Linked DNA regions of Sus scrofa. The protein of the gene in region 1 purifies or fractionates together with the protein of each later gene. This does not show direct contact. Links are inferred from orthologs where the notes say so. Each region holds a gene or a part of one and is shown in the gene's direction. Other genes may lie near its edges.

Region 1 (10,594 bases):
GACCATGAGTTGATATTGAAGCTGAGAGTTCTATTGCACTATTCTACTTTCATATGTGATGGACATTTTCCATAATAAATAGCATTTAAAGTAAAAAAAAAATCACTATCACTCTGAGAAGTACTAGAAATTAAGCATGCATTTACAACACAATGTATTTACCTGGAAAGTCATAATTATAAGTATAGAGTAATTCACTTGTGAAGGAAAAATGCATTAGGAAACAATGTTGCCACAGAAGTCTTATTGAGGTACTGTCCCAGGGTATCATTTGGAATAGCCAGGCCCATAGCTCAGAGGTATAAAACAAAGCTTATCTGTCATAACAGGCAGATATGTTGTAACAAATCAGCCAAAAATCTCCCTGGCACAGATTTCTAGCTCGAGAAGTGCTCTGGAATTCCTCAAGAACCAGATTAATAGAGAAGCCACTGTATCAAGTCTTTATTGCTATGCCAGAGGGAAAGGAGGCTCTGAAGTGCCTCACATTGGTGAGTAAAAAATCCAGTCTAGAAAGTCGCTTCTCACAGTTCATTTGCATAAAACAGTCATCTGGCCCTATTCTGCCACAGGGGCCAGGAGGTACAGTGCCATCAAAACTCCAGAAGAGAGAAGAACTAGAAATATTTACCAAAAAATTCTGACCCCCTTGGAGTTCCCATCATAACTCAGCAGTAATGAACCCAACTAGCATCCATGGTCTCAATGAGTGGGTTAAGGATGTTATTGCCCTGAGCTGTGGTGTAGGTCGCAAACGTGACTTGGATCCCACGTTGCTGTGGCTGTGGTATAGACCAGAAGCTGTAGCTCTGATTTGACCCCTAGCCCAGGAACCTCCATGTGCTGTGAGTGCAGCCCCAAAAAGCAAAAAAAAAAAAAAAAAAAAAAAAAAAAAAAAAAGAATTCTGATCCGATTGACAAGAGAACGTGTGCATGATGCTGAAGCTGTACCAAACTTGAGCCCTGGGAATGACAGTACCTTGCCCCACCCCTAAGACAGTGTCCAGACAAAAGTCATCATCAATCTTTATGCATTACTTCTCTCTTATGACTCACAGTCATGCAATACATTGTATGCAGAGATTGCATAATGAGTGTAAAGTAATTAGTTGGCTGAATTACAAATTCAGCAATACTTTTCAAAAGGAGTTATTCCATTTCCCCTTTTGGATCATTAAAGTAATATGTTCTCATTATAAAAAAAAAAAAACTTGGAAACTATGGAGCATTAGAAAGAAGAGAGAGAAATCACCCATAATGTTACCTTCCAAAGAGAGTCACAGCTAATGTTTTACTGGATTTCCTTCCAAGCCGTTTCTATGCATTTAAAAAAAATTAGCTCTAGCATTTCCATTGTGGCTCAAAGGGTTAAGAACCCAACTAGTATCCATGAGGATACAGGTTCAATCCCTGGCCTTGCTCAGTGGGTTAAAGATCCAGTGTTGCCCTGAGCTGTGGTTTAGGTGGCTCAGATCCCAAGTTGCTGTGGCTGTGGCGTAGGCTTGCAGCTGCAGCTCAGATTCCTCAGCCTGGGAACTTCCATATGCCCTGCCTGAAACCCTAAAAAGCAAAAACAAACAAACTTGCTCTCATGGTCACCAAAACTATAACCATTTCTTCCTTAGAGACATTGTTCCAAATAGCTGATCTAACCAGCACTAGACTAGCAGAAAATTTCTTTAAAAAGGTGTTAGGGCTTTTCCTTGAAACACAGATATTTTAACATGGTGTTATAGCACTTTAAGTGCTAATGGTTAACTAAAAGATGCAGGTCACATTCTGTATTTTTGAGCAATGAATTCCTAGTTCTATCATTGCTTGTTAGTTTAAGACCAGCCATGAAACAAATGAATAATTGTAATAGCTTTATTTGCTACTGGTATTTTCTCCACCCAGTTTATTTATGAAAAGGGAACAGCTTTGGAAGTTATTACAATGGAATTTATGCATCTTAAAATCATAAAGACTCTGGAGTTCCCATCACGGCTCAGCAGTTAATGAACCCGACTAGTATCCATGAGGATGCGGGTTCGATCCCTGGCCTTGCTCACTGGGTTAAGGATCTGGCATTGCCATGAGCTGTGGTATAGGTTGCAGACTCCACTTGGATCCTGAGTTGCTATGGCTGTGGTGTAGGCCTAGCCTGGGAATCTCCATATGCCGTCAGTTCCTCCCTAAAAAGACAAACACCCCAAAAACAAAACAAACAAAGATCATAAAGATTCTAGTTACCTTTGAAAATAAAAACTGCTGATGATCCAAGTAATGACTAGGTGGCATAAAGAATACCTCAGCCAAATATTCTATAACTAGGATAATTTTCTCAAGTCTAGAAAACATTTAGTTATAAACTAGGATCTTTAGGTGAAAGATGATTTGTGGAATGTTTTAGTAATTATTACTCAAATTTTGCCAGAGACTCTTTTTCCTTAATATTTGATCTGATATTGCATTTTGTGTGTAGATTTCTTCTTCAGTTCAATAGACAAAGGAAATCTCAGAAAACTTAACTGACCAAGAATCTATACGAAGGTCTTGTAATTTTCTTATATCACAGCAATCTCTCAATTATTTATCTTAATAAGAGATAATGACATAGTCGATTGTGAACTTCTTATGGGCAAAAATAATAAATTATCTGTGTAGTCCTTACATCTCCCAGCACAAAGCAATGTATAGCGGAAACTCCCATAAACAAATAAATGTGATACAAAGTACAACTGCATTTACATGTGAAAGGTATTTGAGTTTTCCATAACTTGTTTATTTTCTTACTCATCTAAATCCTTGTTTTTTTATTTTTATTTTTATTTTTTTTGCCTTTTTGGCCATTTTTTTAGGGCCGCACCCGTGGCATATGGAGGTTCCCCCGCTAGGGGTCTAATCAGAGCTACAGCTGCTGGCCTACACCAGAGTCACGCCAGATCTGAGCCGCATCTACGACCTACACCACAGATGGCAATGCCAGATCCTTAACCTACTGAGGGAGGCCAAGGAAACCCACTGAGCGAGGCCAAGGATTGAACCTGCAACCTCATGGTTCCTAGTTGGATTCGTTTCCACTGTGCCACGATGGGAACTCCACTTGTTTACTGTTTTTGGCTGCACCTGTGGCATATGGAAGTTTCTGGGCCAGAGGTTGAACCTATGCCTCAGCAGCCACTGAACCACTGCAGAGACGATGCACGATCTTTACCCCTGCACCACAGCAGGAACTCCTAAATCTTTGTATTCTGAAATAGCTCCTTATAATTTCCAAAAGAGAAGTTACTGAATTAGGTCATGTGAACATTTCTTTATCCGATTTGACAAGTAACTTTCCAAATTTTGTTCTAAGTTACATCCCCAAGAAGATAGGAGTCCTCATTTCACTCTATCCCCACCAATGGAGTTTCTTCAGAATATAAACAACCTGGCCAATTAGATCCAAGGGAAATAATGTCTCTTTTGTCTTCTTTTCATTATTAATGAGTTTTAACATTAATAAAATATGCAGTAGGCATTTAAATTTCTTAATTTGTGAACTGACCATTCGTACATATACTTTTCCCACTTATCTGTTTAAGGCCTTATTACTTTCTATTTCTAGTCTTTGTCCTTACACTGTGCAACAGAATATTTTTACCTCAAATATGCACTTGTACACAGGCATCTCTGCTGTGTTTCTTCAAGGGTAGTGACCCCATTTCATTTATCTGGGAGCAACACTGGGCACAGTAGAGACAATGCATACTGGGCTTTGTGTAATTATTTTTAGGATTAAACAAGCTAAGCTAAACATAAACGAGATAACCTAAGCAAAGCATCTAACACACTGTCACATAGCAGATGCTCAATAAATTATTTTAATCAATCAAAAGAAGTTTCACCACTGAAGCAAAACCACACTATTTCAGCGCTGAGGAAAATCAAGATAAAATATCTTTGAAAGATCACAAATTATATTTGTCCAAGTTCAAGATTTGGGATTTGAACACTGATTCAAATTACATCTGACTGCGATACTCTTGAGATACTACAACTCTGACATTTTTAAAGACCAGTATGAATTCTGAGCTGGTTAAAATCTTTCGGTAAGTGGTGGATTCTTTTCCCCAGTCTGTAATGACACCCTGGCCCCAGACAGACGTCTCTTCTTCCATTTAAATTTATAGGAAACTTCTGGTGAAAATAGTAAAACACAAGCACAAATATGCATCACATGATTGACATTTGCTTCTCCAGATTAATTAGCTTTTGTTTTCAGACAGGAAGGCAGCTGTTCTCCGACCACTGCCAGAAAAGCAGAACTAAAACAACCAGAAGGAAAGACTGAGCCCTTGGGAATGGCCAATCAGCTGGAGGGCCTGAGGCACTGCAGTGGGTTAGGAGCATTTTTTTGCTGCCGGGGCGGAGGGGGAGCTGGTTGCAAAACCAGTATGAAGCAAAAAAAAAAAAAAAAAAAAAAAAGGTTTTCCGGGAGGACAGCAGCGCGGAGAACAGGCCGGGTGTGTCCGGTACAGGCCCGAGCTGCCCGAGCTCTGCGCCAGCCCTGTGAACGCGGAGGCTGGGGGCGGGGAAGCTGTGTCTAGGTCAGCGAAGGGCACAGGAAGCAGGCCACCGACACTGGTCGCTTCGGGATCCCTGCCCCGGGGCCTCTAGTGGGAAACCGAGTCGAGGACTACAGAAGATCCTCCGTCGTCCCCCTCACCCCAGAACCGCCTCAGGCATTTCCGGTAAGCAGCCCAGCGCCCAGGGATTTAGATCCCGCATCGCAGCGCGCAGGCGCCTCGCGAGTAGGGAGGCCGCGGACGCGGACCGAGGGGGCGTGTGAGTCAAAGGAAAGCTTCCTCTGCGCCTGCGCTATCTGTTCTCCCCAGTTGCGGGTGAGGGAAGGTGGTGGAAACAAACCTTGAGCCGACGTCCCGCGCTCCCTGCACTCCCGGCCGGCGTCGCTCTTCATTCCTCTGCGCGGTGTCGCGTCCAGGCGTCAAAGAGCTCCGCCGGGGTGTGGGGAGGTAAGTGCCCCCTGCAACAGGCGTCTTGGCCTCTCTTCGCCCCTGCTGCCCTCACAGAGAAAGCAGGGTGGCCGCTGGTCTCTCTGCCCTGGGCGCCGGGGCTGGCCCTCCTGTCCCTCTAGGGGCCAAGCCTGGGCCCCCGATTCATCCCTTTCCCAAGCCCCCTGGGCTGGCCGGGAAAAAAGACTCAAACCAGGTTGCCGCTCGTTAAAGCCGGGAGGTGCGGACCAGGCCAGGATGGCAATCACGGCGGTTCTTTGCCGGGTCCCGCCCACCTGGGCCTCCCAGAGTGCACGGCGCTGGGGAGAGGGCGACCCCCGCTCTCGGCTGGTGCTGGGTGAAGCGCCCCCAGGGCTGCCATCCCGGCTAGAGAAGGGGCTGCGTCTGCTGGAGGGGCTGGTAGCCCCTGCGCTGAAAGGTCTCGGCACCGGCAGACGAATCTGTCATCGGCGCCCGAGTTTCGCAAAGCCCATTCCCCGCACCATCGTATTGTCTTACCGTTTTTGACCAGAAGGACGCGGTAGTGTTCCTTTCCACTATCTTTTCTTTGATACGTTTGAAAAATTGTAAAAGATGACCTAACTTTTAACTGTTAACTTATTTGTACTACCGTGATTGCATATTCAGACTTGAGGGTGTTCTTGTTAATTTGATTGTATGGAAACCAGCTCATAAATTTGATAACAATATTTTTCACTTAACAAAATAGGTGGTTTGAGGATCTTTATTATTTTGAGCTTTTGAATTGGCAAAATTTGAGTGGTTTGATAATTTTCACCTCATTTCGTCCCCCTTTTCTCCCCTGGACACTATTGTCCAAAACTTAAATGGAATAAAGAATAAGGAAAAATAATCAACTGTAACTCCACTTTAAAGATATTCAGCACCAGTTAATTTTGACTTTTTACCTCTCAGTTTTCCCATGGCATTTTCTTAATTAAGATGAGATTATAATTTATAGACAGTTAGGTTGCCTGTTTTTCTTGCTTAAAATTATATTTTAAGGTGTTCCCCGTATGGCTCAGCGGAAACAAACCGGACTAGTATCCATGAAGTCAGGGGTTCAATCCCTAGCCCAGATCACTCGGTTAAAGGACTGGGCGTTGCTGTGCGCTCTGGTGTAAGTTGCAGAAGCAGCTCGGATCCCTTGCGGTGGCTTAGGCTTTAGCTGTAGCTCCTATTCAACCACTAGCCTGGGAACCTCCATATGCCTAGGGTGCTGCCCTAAAAAGCAAAGAAAAAATTTTATTTTTAAGCATTCCCCTGTTTTTTGAAAACTTCATAAACATAACTTTATGATTTTTGATTACACAAGTGATATATGAGCAAAATATCTTTCAAAACAGTTAACACTACAGAGGAGTTCCTCTGTGGTGTAGCGGAAAAGAATCCATATTCATAAGAATTCAGTTTCCATTCCTGGACTTGTTCAGTGGGTCTGGGATCCGGTGTTGCCATGAGCTGTGGTGTAGGTCACAGGCTCATCTCAGATCCTTTGTTGCTGTGGTGTAGGCCGGCAGCTGTAGCTCTGATTTGACCCCTAGCCTGGGGTCTTCCGTATGCCCCAGGTGTGTGGCCCTAAAAAGCAAAAACAAAAAAAACCTTACACTACAGATAAAACTAAATTCCTATTTAATTATCATCCCCAATTACAATGTTACATAATATGATGGTATCACAGTTTATTTAATCCAGTGAGTCTTAGGATCCCCTTTATACACTTAAAAGTTTTTGAGGACTGAAAGATTTTCTGTTTTCTAATGCAGTGTATATGCTATTTTAGAAATTAAAACTAAGATAATTAAAACTTTGTACTTATTTAAAAAATAATAAGTCCATTATATTATATATTGAATTAATAATATTGTTTAAAGTAACTATTTTCTTTTAAAAATTTAGTGAGAACAGTTTTTCATATTTTTGAGATGACTTTAATGCCTGGCTTTATAGGAAACAGATTCTCATATTTGCTTTTCCCTTCAGTCTCCTTTGCTTCTTTGTTTAGGCTGAAGTATTAAGAAAATCCAGGAGTTCCTGTTATGGCTCACTGAGTTAAGAAGTTGACATTGTGTCCTTGAGAGTAGGGGTTCTATCTCTGGCCTCCCTCAAGTAGGGTAAGGGTCTGGTGTTGCTGTACTCTGCAGTGTAGTTCGCAGATGTGGCTTGGATCTGGTATGGCTGTGGTGTAGGCCTGCAGCTGCACCTCTGATTCAGCCCCTAGCCTGGGAACTTCCATGTGCCAAAGGTGCAGCCCTAAGAAGAAGGGGGGGAAAAAAAAGAAAAGAAAATCCATTCTTGTACAGATAAATATTTCGTACAGGAAGGACCTCACTCTTCCAAAATCTCTTGGATTCTTTTAGGGGGTCCTCAGACCACAGTTTCAGAAAGCTGATTTAACCATTCTTTTTTTTTTTTTTTTTTTTGTCTTGTTGTTGTTGTTGCTATTTCTTGGGCCGCTCCCGCGGCATATGGAGGTTTCCAGGCTAGGGGTTGAATCGGAGCTGTAGCCACCGGCCTACACCAGAGCCACAGCAACGCGGGATCTGAGCCGAGTCTGCAACCTACACCACAGCTCACGACAACGCCGGATCGTTAACCCGCTGAGCGAGGGCAGGGACCGAACCCGCAACCTCATGGTTCCTAGTCGGATTCGTCAACCACTGCGCCACGACAGGAACTCCTGATTTAACCATTCTTGCTTGGATGAGCTGTTAGGTTCTTTGCAGTTTTCACTATTTGAAATGTTGTAACATTGAAAATTCTTTGTGATGTGTTGTTCTTGTGTGTAAGTGCTAGTGTTTCTCTACAAGTAGAATTGCTAGGTCATAGAGTTTGTTCTTTAAAAAAAAAGTTTTAATAGACATAAACATGGCTTATGATGCCTCCATGATTTTCTGTGTTGTAATGTTGGTATTTAGATTCTTTCAATTAATAATTTGGTGAAATACCTTTGTATATTTTCAGTTTTGAATTTTTAAATTGAATGTCTAAAGAGAGAACTGTTAGATCAAATGTTAGGAATCTTTTTGAATCCATTGATCCATATTGTTACATTGTTCCCCTGAGAGAGGATACCAGTTTACTTCTATCAGCAGTATCTGAGATGCTCTTTATATCAGATGCTTACAAACATTGAAGAATTTTATTATTTTTTTGAAGACTTTTCTTATTAAAAAGATTATATTCAGGGAGTTCCCGTCATGGCACAGTGGAAACGAATCCAACTGGGAACCACGAGGTGGAGGGTTCGATCCCTGGCCTCTCTCAGTGGGTTAAGGATCCAGTGTTGCCGTGAGCTATGGTGTAGGTTGCAGACGCGGCTCGGATCCTGTGTTGCTGTGGCTGTGGTGTAGGCCAGCAGCTACAGCTCTGATTAGACCCCTAGCCTGGGAACCTCCACATGCCACAGGTTTGGCCCTAAAAGGAGAAAAAGACAAAAAAAAAGTTATATTCAGATTTAGTAAGGTATGTGTTCTAATTTGCATTTCTTTGGGAGTTCCTGCTGTGGCACAGTGGGTTAAAAATCTGACTGCAGCAGTTTGGATTGCTGTGGAGGTGGGGGTTTGATCCCTGGGGGCCTGGCCCAGCACAGGGGTTAAAGGATCTGACGCAGGTCAGGTCATAGCTGTGGCTCAGATTCAGTCCCTGGCCCCGGAACGTCCATAAGCTATAGATGTGGCCTTAAATTAAAGAAATAAATAATTTGTGTTACTTTGATAGTGCAGATTGTACATTGAATGTTTTTTCATAATCTTACTAGCTGCCTGTTCATATTATGTGCCCAATTATCATTTTTAGGAGGAAAAGAAAGAAATTATCTTTTTTTCTGATTATAAAAGTAGTATTTTTTTGTTTAAAAAATACTATAAAGGAGTTTCCATCATGGCTCAGTGGTTAACGAGTCCGACTAGGAACCATGAGGTTGGGGGTTTGATCCCTGGCCTTGCTCGGTGGGTTAAGGATCCCACATTGCCGTGAGCTGTGGTGTAGTTTGCAGACGCGGCTCGGATCCCGCATTGCTGTGGCTGTGGTGTAGGCTGGTGGCTACAGCTCCGATTAAACCTCTAGCCTGGGAACCTCCATGTGCCACATGTGTGGCCCTGGAAAAGGCAAAAAAACAAAACAAAACAAAACAAAAAATACTATAAGGACATAAAATATAGATGTGAAAAGCTTACATAATCACAGACAACGTTATTAATAGTTTGGTGTTTGCGCCTCTATTTTTTTCTGTCTTGCTAATACTATGTATATGTTTGCTAATACTGTATATATGTTTTTAGAACTTACTATAAAAATGGGTCCAGGAATTCCTGTTGTGGCTCATTAGGTTTGTACTATGTACTATGAATGAAGTTTTACAATTTGCTGTTTTTGTCTTTTAACATTATATATTAGATATTTTTCTATGGAAGTGGCACACATAAATAAACTTTAGAATAGAGAGTATATCTTGTATTTCTTTTGTGTCTTCTGTACAGGATAGATTACTAGCACTGTAAGTAAATCGGTTGATTGAAATGGAAAGTATGTGCAGCTTAGTAAGATTTCATTTCGAAAGATTTCAGTGTTATACCTTTTAGAAATTGTTAGATTGATTTATTATTTAATTATCTTACTGGTTTTTTGGTGTCTTTTCAGTGCCTCAGATAACATAATGCTTAGTAGTATATTGCTATTTAGATAGAAATACTTTATCAGTAGATGTTATTTAATAAATTCCATCTGGCTTTTTCTAATGAACTGTTTCTATACCTTTTAGTTCTATGCTTTATTTATTTATTTATTTGTCTTTTGTCCTTTTAGGGCTGCACCAGTGGCATTTGGAGGTTCCCAGGCTAGGGGTCTATTCGGAGCTGTAGCTGCTGACCTACACCACAGGCACAACAACGTCAGATCCGAGCCACATCTGCGACCTATACCACAGCTCACAGCAATGCCGGATCCTTAACCCACTGAGCAAGGCCAGGGATCAAACCTGAAACCTCATGGTTCCTAGTCAGATTCATTTCCACTGTGCCACGATAGGAACTCCTATGCTTTATTTTTTTAAAAATATGTTTGATATTGAGTTCCTTTATTACTTTCTGCTATTTTTGTTTGTTTCTTTTTGACCATCCCTGCAGCATACCTAAGTTCCCAGGCCAGGGATTGAACCATTGCCACAGTAGTGACCCAAGCCATAGCAGTGACAGTGCCAGATCCTTAACTACTAGGCCCCCAGGGAACTCTCAGTTTTCGACACTATGTTTATGTTTATCAAAGGGGTACCTGTACATAATTTAAAGAGTCAAGTAATACTACAGTGCTTATGATGAAAAACACTAGTGCTTTTCCCTCATCTTTTTCTCCCCAGAATCCCACTCTACAAAAGCAGCTTTTCTATTTTCTAAGTGTTCTTCATCGAAATCACAAACCCAGGAAATAATAGGAGTAACTATTTTCTCAACTCCCCCAAGGGTGATTTATAACTATAGTTGACCCTTGAACAACACACGTTTGAACTGCAGGTCCACTTATATGTAGTCTTTTTTTCCAATAGTAAATAAATATTACAATACTACACGATCCTGCTTAATTGAATCCAAGTTCCTGCG
Region 2 (10,353 bases), on another chromosome or scaffold:
CCCTGCTGCCGGCTTGTGTGTATGTGACTGTTCCAGATTCCTTCACTGGCCTCTGGGTGTAGGTTTTAAATTTTTATATATATGCATATACATACATATATATATAATGTACAATATATACATAGGACTATACTTTGCTTTTAGTAATTTTATGAGATGGCAGAGGTTTAGCCAAGAGGAAACCTTGGCATGAGTATGGGCTTGGGAGTCTTTCTTTCCTGTGGTGGATAAATCTGCCTTAAAAATCAATGTAACTTGGGGGCTGGGGGCTTGTTCTGGATGCTGAGTGCATCGCTTTACAGACAGCTAAAATGTGATTTTTTTCCAAACTCAGTTGTACCTCCAGACCCATCACTGACCATTTGCCTTACCTGTGTCTTACCGTCTGACATGTAATGGGAAAGAATATGGGAAGACGTCAGTTTACTGAAAGTACAAAGCTTTTCAACTTGAAGTGACCTAGGTGGGAGGTGATACCATCGTCCCCATCTTAATGGTTATTGTGATGGCCTAAGTGAACTTAGTACAGGCTTCATTCCAATTCCTGCTGTACCGGTGTCCATGTCTCAAAATGTATTGTAATTACTGGTACCGTTGGCAGCCATAGTAGGGGCCAAGGCGTTCTGTGAGCCCTGGAGAGGGTAAAGCTGTCAGTGCCACCAGTTGAACGGCATATATTGTTAGCTGACCCAGACCATCTGGTCTGCAGAACTAAGCGCTGGTGTCTTCCGTTGGCAGTGTTAGCTTAGCTCACAGTTCTGCTGCTTAGTTGCTTGGTGTTGTGGAAGGTGAACTTTGCCCAGCCTGATTCTTGGGTTCATCTCATTGGCTTCCCTGCTGGGCAGATACACAGCGTTCTGCATTCCACACGTGAGCAAATTGCAAAAAACGAAAAAAAAAGTACTCTATTCTCATGTAGGTTTATTTATGTGCGCGTGTGAATGTGTGTTTTAATTATGTGTATTTAACTCTTAAACTCTTAGATTTTAATTTATCCTGTAAATTTCTGTATATATAATTTAAAAACAAGAGCCTCCACCAGCAACAGCATGTGGAAGATACAGATTTGTCTTTTCTTCCTTCCTTCCTTCCTTCCTTCCTCTGGTCTCCTCTGGAAACTCCAAATCATCTATACTTTAAGGTATCATGCCTCAAAAAGGAATCATTATGTTGGGATTCAAATTCTTTATAATTCAATAATGTCAAGAAAGTAAAATAAAAAGGAACGTAACCATTCCCAGATGCCCTTATTTCCAAAGAACCAGACTCTTGCTTCCTAGATGCAAAGAAGACAGTTGAGCGCTTAAGGGTTGTTTATACATTGAGTGTGAGGTTCCACGTCACAACTCAGCTCTGAGGTAACTGCTTTCTTCCCGTGGCCTGGTCAGAGCACTGCAGCATCACGATACATCAGCCAGCCTGCATCCGATTTCATTGCTTCCTTCCCACCGGTGTGGTCACAGGGCTGTGTTTCTTAAAGGGATTCTGGTTACTGAATGCCTTTCTCACCTCAGAGCAGTTTTGAGATTTAATTGGGGGAAACAGGAATGTTTGGGAACCAAAATCAAGAAGAGCAGAAATCTCGGTTTGGTCTTGTGCATTAGAACCTGTGCCACACCGCCTCCTCTGATCCCATGTCAGGTTCCTGTCTGACACAGGGTATCCAGGAAGAGCCTTGAGGACATGGACTAGTACAAAAAAAGAAGTCAGTCCTACCATTGTCATTTGTGCACATCAGTGAAATCCTGATGAGGACCTGCTTTTTCGTTTGTTTTCCTTTACAATCCAACCCTATTGTATTTGTATTTAAAATTTGTACACATTTGTATAATAATCTGTTCCTTGTGGTATTTGGTACTATTAGAGGAAAAACTTTGGATTCAGACCTTCTTGCAGTTTTTATATCATTGTTTTATTTTGTTTTTTAAATAAATTCTAGCGGTTTGATCCAAATCCCATTACAGTTGTATAAAGAAACAAAATTTTGTACTTATATTATTAAAAATCACATTTTTAATATTTGTAGTCCAGTGTCAGCTATCTTTTCCCTGTTGCTAACCAGAGTTGCTATGAAATTTTAAAACTGGTTTTCACACTCCAGCCTACCATCATTTTCTTAAAAAGGAAACCTGTCAGGAGTAGAGGTCAAGTTTCTGATCATAGCCATCTTCCCACATCTTCTCTGTGTCTCTCTCTCTTTGTGTTATGGAGTCTCATTGTCTCGCTTTTGCAAATTACAAACCCAGTGGCTCTGGCAGTAGCTCTATTCATTGGCAAATGAAATTGTATGTACATTACAGTATTGCCCCAACTCAAGAAATATTTATCAGTCTTGTATAAAAGTCACATCCGGATCCTGCGCTTCGGTACTGTCCTGACTTGGTGGTTGATTCTGCGCTGGATAAATCACTTAATCCTCATAAGCATCTGAAGTCCCATCTGTAAAGTAGTGGTAATGTCACTTCCCTGTCTCGAACCTTGCAGCCAGCCAGCCTAACATGAATGTTTAGTGATACTGTGAACATTCAATATATGAGACGTGACCTTTCAAGGTAAAAACCTCAGCGCAAACACGAAGTGTTAATAGTCACAGTGCAGTATTATGATTGATTGAAGGACTCGCTTCCTAGGGAGAAGCCGCCAGAAAGAGACCGCCATAGTGCCGAATGAATGACTAGAATGATTTGCATGTTTTATCTCACTTAATCCTCCCCAAAGCCTCATGAGTATTATCGCTCTTTACAAATGAGGAGACAGAGGCAGAAACATAAAGTTTTCCTAAGTTTATACAGCTAGTAAATGGCAAAGCCAGAATAAGCACAATGGTACAGCTGACCCAAAAGCCACTTTCCAAGTTAAATTGTATATGTAATTCATCAGAATCCTCCATTCTCTGCAGTCCTGAGCAAATGTGGTTGTAGGAAATCTATGAGACCTTTCTGTTGTTCAAATGTCCTTTTGCCCTAGTTGGATTTTACTACACAGACCTCATTTTTCTGGTCATACTATTGTCTTTGAATTTTGGAGGCAAAGTATCTTGATTTTTTTGTTGTTGTTGTCTAAAAATATTTAAAGGATATAATCGATTAATTACATTTATGCAATATGTCGTTCTTAAGGGACTTAAATATTTTTATCCTCAGGAAGGCATTTGATATTATATTGCTAAAACATTTAAAAGGAGAAAAATTAAAACAGATTTTTTTACTAAATGAGGTTGTTCCCTGTTAGCAAACATTTTTAAAACAGTTTTAATTGGTTTTGTACTGCACTTAATGTTTGCCATTTACATTCCTATCCATTTTATTGTGAAGTCCACACACTTCCACTTCTAATTTAATAGCCATCCAGCATTCTGTTTGCATGGAGTTAATATGATTTCACTCCCTGTTAGAGGGCACGTGGGTTGTTTCTGTTTTGTTTTGTTTTTTACCATGAAGGATGTATGGCTGTTTCATTCTCGGCAGTAAAGCCAATATCTGCCCATAATCATTTTAAACCAGAGTGATTCAAGAAGGCAAGTACTTCTGGTAAATCACCACCCAACAGGGGGATGTTAAAACTTGTTAATGGAAGGATCCAAAGGAAATTCATGCTAAATATTCTATACACCCAAGCAGTACACCTAAATGAAACAAAAACATGAAAGCTACCTGACATGAAGTTCATCGTAAATGTACATTCCCCCTTATAGTCCAAATACCATTACTGAGAGACTGATTGAAATTTTCACGTGTTAGTCATTGCGCTAGATGCCAGTGGCTGGGATAGACACAGCCTCCGTGCCCTCATGGAGCATCAGAGCACAGGAGTATCTCTGTAAAGGTTTTGTATTGTACAGTAATGATGTCTGCTCAAACAGATTAACCTCTATAGGTTCTCTATCATCAGAAATGTGTGCAGCTTACTAGCCTTTCAAACTTAGAATTCACAAATATCATGCTCAATAAATACTAAAGCACCCTGCCGTAGCCCGGACTACCAAAGCAGTAGTTATTGTATCTTTTGGAGTGCCTATCATTAGAAGGGGAAAAACAAACAAACATAACCTGTAGTTCAGATATCTAATGAGTAGGCAATATAGCTGAAACATGGCACACAAGAAGGCTGAAGAAGATATTAGAATTACAAAGCTGGGAAAAGCCTTTGAGATTTTTGGTTTGGGGTACACTGCTGTACCTCAGGGACCTTGGAAACCCAGAGATCAAATCGTATCTCTCTGCCTTTTTTTCTTCTGAAAGGCTCCACTGCTTTCCACATTTCTCAAAGGAGCCTGTGACCTAAAAAAAAGAGTTGAGTCCTTGATCTAATTGCAGAATCCAGAGAAAATGGAAGCTTGCTGTTTGAATCACACAGTAAATGAATGACAGAGATGGGTTCCAGGACCCACTCCTGACATCTGTGTGCTTTCTGCCACCCTGAGCTCTAGCCCATCCCCAGCTGCAATTCTTTGAGTTGGCTCTCGGTGTCAAGGCGTCACAAACCCCTGGCCCTTGCCTCCCATTTGAGAAGTAAGGGAATCTGGGCTGCAAGCAAGATACGTCTTGCAGCCAGGAGACCTCGAAGAGAAGAGTCTTCTCAGGGCAGGGAGACCACAGGCCAGAGAGGCTGTCAACCCCAGCGGTGGTTGTGTAGTCATAATGAGGTCCTAAGGGGCTGAGACTAAAAGCAAAGGCTATGGGCTCAGCTTGCTGGGTAACCTCACACAAGCCATTTCCCGGGTCTGAGGCTGGGTTTTCCGGGTCTGTTGAGATCAAAGGACCACGCCCCTAAACTCAGAAAAAAAATGGAGGGCGTGGCTTAGGGGGACACACGTCTCAAGACCCGCAGCCGCCCTACGTGGTGCGTGACGTCCGCCGACGCCGAGGAAGCCGCAGTGAGGTCATCGCCCTCCGCCTTCGGGAGCCGACCGACCCTCCTCGTCAGGGGCGGGGCCTGCGGCAGCGCTCCTGGCTCCTTCTGCCCCGCCCCACCCGCGCCTCCCCGAGGACCGTCCAGCGCGTCACGTGACGGGTCGGCGGCGCTGGCGGTTGCTGTCAGCTGATTCCCCGGCTTGGTGGCAGCGGCAGCCGCGGCAATGGACTTTCTCCTGGGGAACCCGTTCAGCTCTCCGGTGGGACAGCGCATCGGTGAGTCCCAGGGCTCCGCCCAGCCTCAAAGCAGGGCTCCGCGCCCGTCCCTTGCCCCCCGGGGTGCCTCCAGGTCCCCAGTCACACCCCAGAAGGAGGCTGGGTGGGGAAGGAGGAGAACGAGGCTGGCGAGGCTAGCGAGGCTGGCCTGTCTGTCCCGAACCTGGCCCCGCCCCTTCTCCCGCCTACTTTGATTGACAAAAGCTGCGGTCCATTAGGGAGCCTTGGCTTGTGATGAATGCCCACGGCAGCCAATAGGTAAAGAGAGAAGGCGGGTCAGGGCCTCCGTGTCTTGGCCAATGTGAGGTTGTTGGGGTCGCGAATCCAGGGAGAAAGTTTAGGGGGTTAAAGGGACTGCGTGGTTTTACAGCCTTTGGGTCCCTCCACTGTTCCCCTGTTGCTTCCCCTACTCGCGTCAGCCGGGTGGGCTCTCGCCGTCTCCTTCCTGGCGCTCCAGGCGCTGCGAACACGGATTCCTGAGAAGAGCTGGAAGTCCCTTTTCCCAGGACCAGGGCGCGGGGGCGGGGGTGGGGGGGCGTTTAGGCGGGCAACTTGAGCAGGGGGGGCGGCGGAGAGCCCTGCTTCCTTTGGGCCCAGGGTAGACGCTGGGGAACCCGCTCCGCCAAGAGGCCAGGCCTTTGAAAGCAAAGCCTCGGAACGTGCCTGCCTTGGCCTCGCTCGCCGGCCGGCGTCAGATGGTCCGCATAGACCCGCAGACTCTGAGCTTAGAGTGATTTTAGGAACCACCTGATTCGGCCTCCTTCATTTCTCAGTAGAGGGGAAGGCCAAGCTCTCTGGCTGAGACACAGGCACACTCAGATCTCCTGATTCTCTGGCCTCCTGTTGACGGGAGACTTACTAGTTTGTGACGTTGCATCTGTGTACGGAGGTTTCCTCACCTGTGATGAGGGGATAATAATGGTCCCCACGGATTGCTATGTAAATTAAACTCGTTAATACATGTAAAGTACTTAGAACACTGCCTGGCACGTGACCGATGCTATTTTAAAAAAAAGTAATATTTATTATCATTGTAACTGAGAAACCACCAAATGAGGGGCAGGAATTCCTGGAAATGGCTGGCCACTCGGTCTTGGCTATTCATTCCTGCGCACCAATGCAGGGAGGGCCTACAGGCCATCACCCGAACAGCTGACACTTCTCCAGGATAGTCTGGGCGTGCCTCGTTGCATGAAGAAACCGCGGCAGTACTGTGAAACTCTCCATCTTCTTGATGGTCTTTAGCCTTGAGTCCAGACCGGGAAGATTGGATCTTTGAGGCAAGACTTTCTTTTACATGGAAACCAAACCTCACTTCATTCTGTTAACCCAGCTATGTTGAAATTGCCCCCGTGGCCGTTTGTGGCTCTTCTGAGGTTTTGTAATCAAATGTCTTCAAGAGGAGCCTGAAGGTCAAGAATTTACACACCAGGAAGCTCCTGGACCAGAGAGGGGAAGCTGCCACCTCAGGACCACTTGCCCGCCGCACCTACTACTCACCCCAGTGAGTCATTGTTTTGAAACAGAAAAGAGAAGGCAGCTCTTCCCTCATTGTTATTTTTGCAACTGCAGATACTCCTGCTTTCATCATGTGCCAAGTTCCAGGGTTCTTATCCCCCTACCCTCCCTCCCCAAAATCGAGACTTCATGATAGTCAGCCACATATTCCTGAGGCTTTTTATAGCAAAGCTCACTTGTACTCCCTGCTTTAGGTTGTCAAAAGAAAGCAGCTCCTCTTTTTACCCTGAAAGGTTACCTGTCTTGGGCAAGAAATACTCAGTCCAAAGAGCATGGTACTAATTCGTCATACCTTAAAGCACAGAACAAGTCTTACTGCAGGAACAGTCCTTACCCTGGGGCTCTTCTGACCCCAGGCTTTCCTCAGAATCCACTGGGAAGTCTAGTTAAAGCAGTGAAGGCTGAGCCCCACCTCCAGAGTATGTGACTCTGTAGGTCTGAGGCAGCCACTGGATTGAAAAACCACACGTTGAAAACCTTGGTTCTAGCCCGTCCCCTTCATTTCACTCAGGAGCCTGAGGTCCCGAGAGGGAAGGTGGAGGCCAGGACTCACCCAAGACCCCAATGAAATGATGGAAACGCTGATCTGAATGCCCCAAAGCCACTGAAATATGAACCAAAGCTGAAGAGGCTCTAAAAGTAGAAATGAAAAATGTCTACCATTTGAGTTATGCCCTCAGTACTCCTTTGCATGCTTTTGCTCTTTTTTCTTTCTTTTTTTTTTGGATAAAGACGCAACGCCAGCCTTGATTGCTTGTGATTACTATTGACCTAGTATCAGCTGCCTGGACTTCCGTAAACTGCAGGGACGAAATAATCTCTTCTCAACCCTGCCGGCACCCCCTGTTGAGAGTAGAACCCTGAGCACTGTGGATCCTCATGGTGCTAAGCAGGGGTGAGTGTCACTTGACTCGAAGTCTCCAGCCACCCCCACACACCCTCTTTGTGCTTGCTGCTCTCTCTGCCTGCAATGCCTGCTCCGGTGTGCATCCTTCAAAGCCCAGGCGTCATCACCTCCTCGCTGAGGGCTCCTCTGTCCTCTTCAGACCCAGCCATTGCTTTCATGCCCTCCCATCAGCCTCGCTCCATAGGATTCTTGGCTCTCTGCCTTTGGGCTTCGAGCCTCTGCTTCTTCCTGGGTGGAAGGGTGGTTGTAACCATATCCACGTCTCAGGATGGCTGAGAGAGCGAAGTAAGAGCTCCCTGGAGAGGGCCCGGCCTGCTGTGAGTGGGCAGCAAACACCATTATCACTTTTGTTATTTCCACCGTCATCACACTAATAAAGTGCCGTCTCACTGTTAGTGGTTGGGCGTGTCTCCCCTGCTGGACCAGACTTCCTGAGAACAGGTGCCGGACCTTAGATCCAGCCCCTTGGCACTTCGCATGGCACCTGGCACATAGTAGGAGGGAAGGAAGGAGAAAGAAAGGAACCGTGTGTGAGCAAAGCCAGGTGCCATGCTGGTATCCCAGCCCTGTTGTCCAACTCAAGTTCATGTGCCTGACGCACGGTAAGGCTAAACACAGCAAAACGTAGAGGAGCTTGGAGCAGAGAAGGGCTTGTTGCAAGGGCCAAGCCAGGAGAGCGGGCTGCTCATGCTCAAAAGCTCTGAAACTCCCCACTGGTTTTCCGGGAAGAGTTTTTAAAGGCAAAATTGCGGGGAGGGGAGGGCTGCAGGGTGTGTGACCTTCCTCGGACTGGTTGGTGGGGAGGGTACAGGGCGGTGCTCCAGGAATCTCAGTCCTCAGCCTTCTGGTTCCGTCCCGGCTGGGGTCTGCGGGCTTGTGCTCCTCCACCTGGCCGGGGCCCCAGCTCCTGTGAGAACCCAGAGATGTGGATCTGAGGGTTCAGGCTCCTGAAGAGGAACTAGGAGTCTGCCTTCTTGCTGCACTATTATTTCTTGACTGCTTTTCCTTTGTTCTGTGTCCCCTCCCTTCCCTAATTAGTAGCTGTTTGACTCTGCCCTTTGGAACTCAGGGAGGGTCTAGGCGGCTGAAACCTTTTTTCCTACAAACGAGAAACAGGGAACACAGAGAAGCTTTTGTACCCGGAAGGGCCTTGGAAGACCCTGCTCCGTTTCAGTCCCCGCCTTTCTTTGATGCTCTCCAGTCTGGAGGGGGAACAGGTGTGGGAATGGAAGCTTTAGGCAGAGGCTAAGCATAAACTCGGCAAAAGAGCTCAGGTTTAGTGGGATTCGGTTTCAACCCTACAAAATTTTGCTATTTTTCTCCCATGTCACTAAAAGTAAGTGAGGAGGAAACTATTCCTTCCCAAAGTTGCCCAGCCCATTAGGGTCGGGCCCCAGACCCAAGTGTCTCTGGCTGCAGACCCCAGGTCCTCTCTGGCACTCTCACCACCCTGCCTCTGGCTGATCATCGCTTAGCTGGAATTTGCAGCCACCCAACCCTCCAACTAATACAGTTCTGTTGGATCCACACACTAGCTTTTCTGATTATGACACACATCTAGGTCTGTGCACATTCCCAGGTCACTCACCTGTCGACTGAAAAGAAAAAAATACACAACCTAAACGTTGACAATTATGTTTTATCCGAGGAGCTTACCAAGGACCATAGCCTGACTAGCAGGTGGCTCGAGGGTCTGTTCTAAAGAGGTAAGGGAGGAGTTCCCGTCGTGGCGCAGCAGAAACAAATCCCACTAGGAACCATGAGGTTGCAGGTTCAATCCCTGGCCTCACTCAGTGGGTTAAGGATCCAGCATTGCCATGAGCTGTGGTGTAGGCCGGCAGCTGTGGCTCAGATTAGACCCTTAGCCTGGGAACCTCCGTGTGCCATGGGTGCGGCCCTAAAAAGCAAAAAAATAAAAAATGAAAAAAACATAAAGAGGTAAGGAAGGAGCCAGGATACAGAGGTGTTTTGCCCCATGTAGCTGAACATCAAAAGATTAATGCTAATCACAAGAAAACAGGCGTCTCAAGTTAATGATTTCAGTGCTTTTCCCTGTATGGGAAGATTCAAGAGCCTGTGCCTTTTGAAATCATTCCTTTGATAGCCATCTTAACTATCTAGGGCCCGTATCCTGTTTTTCTCTTTTCTGATTTCCCCTCAGGGGCTGCAGTGGCTGAGCTTGATGGCCACAGTTGCCTTTGTGCCTGACATGGCAAATGACATTTTTGTCCACTTACCCTTATCTATTAGGAGAGCTTCCCGCTGGCACAGCCTGTGGCTGAAAGGATCCCAGAGAGCGAGTGGTAGCTGGTATTGACGTAGCCCTCTTCTTCCAAGGATTTTCAAACCCTTTCCAAGTATTCTCTGAGGACAGATTGAACTGCCTGGGTTTTATAGAGAGAGGTCAGAGGGCGAGCCAAGAATCTCATTTTCCGCTTCTGGTGTCAGCTCACCCCTAGCACTTTGAGCTGAGACATACCTGACCCCCTGAGAGCGAGCTGCAAAAGACAGAGAGTAAATGCAGGCAGCGCCTGGGGAACAGCCCCCCATGCACGCCCCCCCCCAGGAGTTGGGGGAGGCGGGGCGGGCCAGATGTGATGGGAGAAGAGCCCAGAGCCTAAGACTGAGGGGTGGACAGGAGAGGTGAAAGGTCAGGGAGAGCCACCCTTAGATCCACGAAGGCCAAGCCAGGAGGCCGCCAGAAGGCATCGTCGATAAGAGGCCACAGGCACGAGCAGGGAGAGAACACCTCGGGACCTCTGGGGGCACCACGTGGGGACCGATGAGTGAAAACCAGAC

Evidence for each region.
Region 2: the proteins of ZFYVE16 (region 1) and TOM1 purify together in Homo sapiens (affinity purification with western blotting; 3 studies listed by BioGRID and IntAct, with this or other methods). This does not show direct contact. The link is inferred for Sus scrofa from reciprocal best matches to the Homo sapiens genes ZFYVE16 and TOM1.

Annotation. Positions count from the first base shown.
Region 1 is NC_010444.4:89,040,764-89,051,357, forward strand, and holds the start of ZFYVE16 (zinc finger FYVE domain-containing protein 16), read left to right. Parts: upstream 1-4,096; 5' UTR 4,097-4,997; intron 4,998-10,594.
Region 2 is NW_018084968.1:1,845,217-1,855,569, forward strand, and holds the start of TOM1 (target of Myb protein 1), read left to right. Parts: upstream 1-4,892; 5' UTR 4,893-5,077; coding exon 5,078-5,129; intron 5,130-7,379; exon of another isoform or gene 7,380-7,526; coding exon of another isoform or gene 7,527-7,542; intron 7,543-10,353.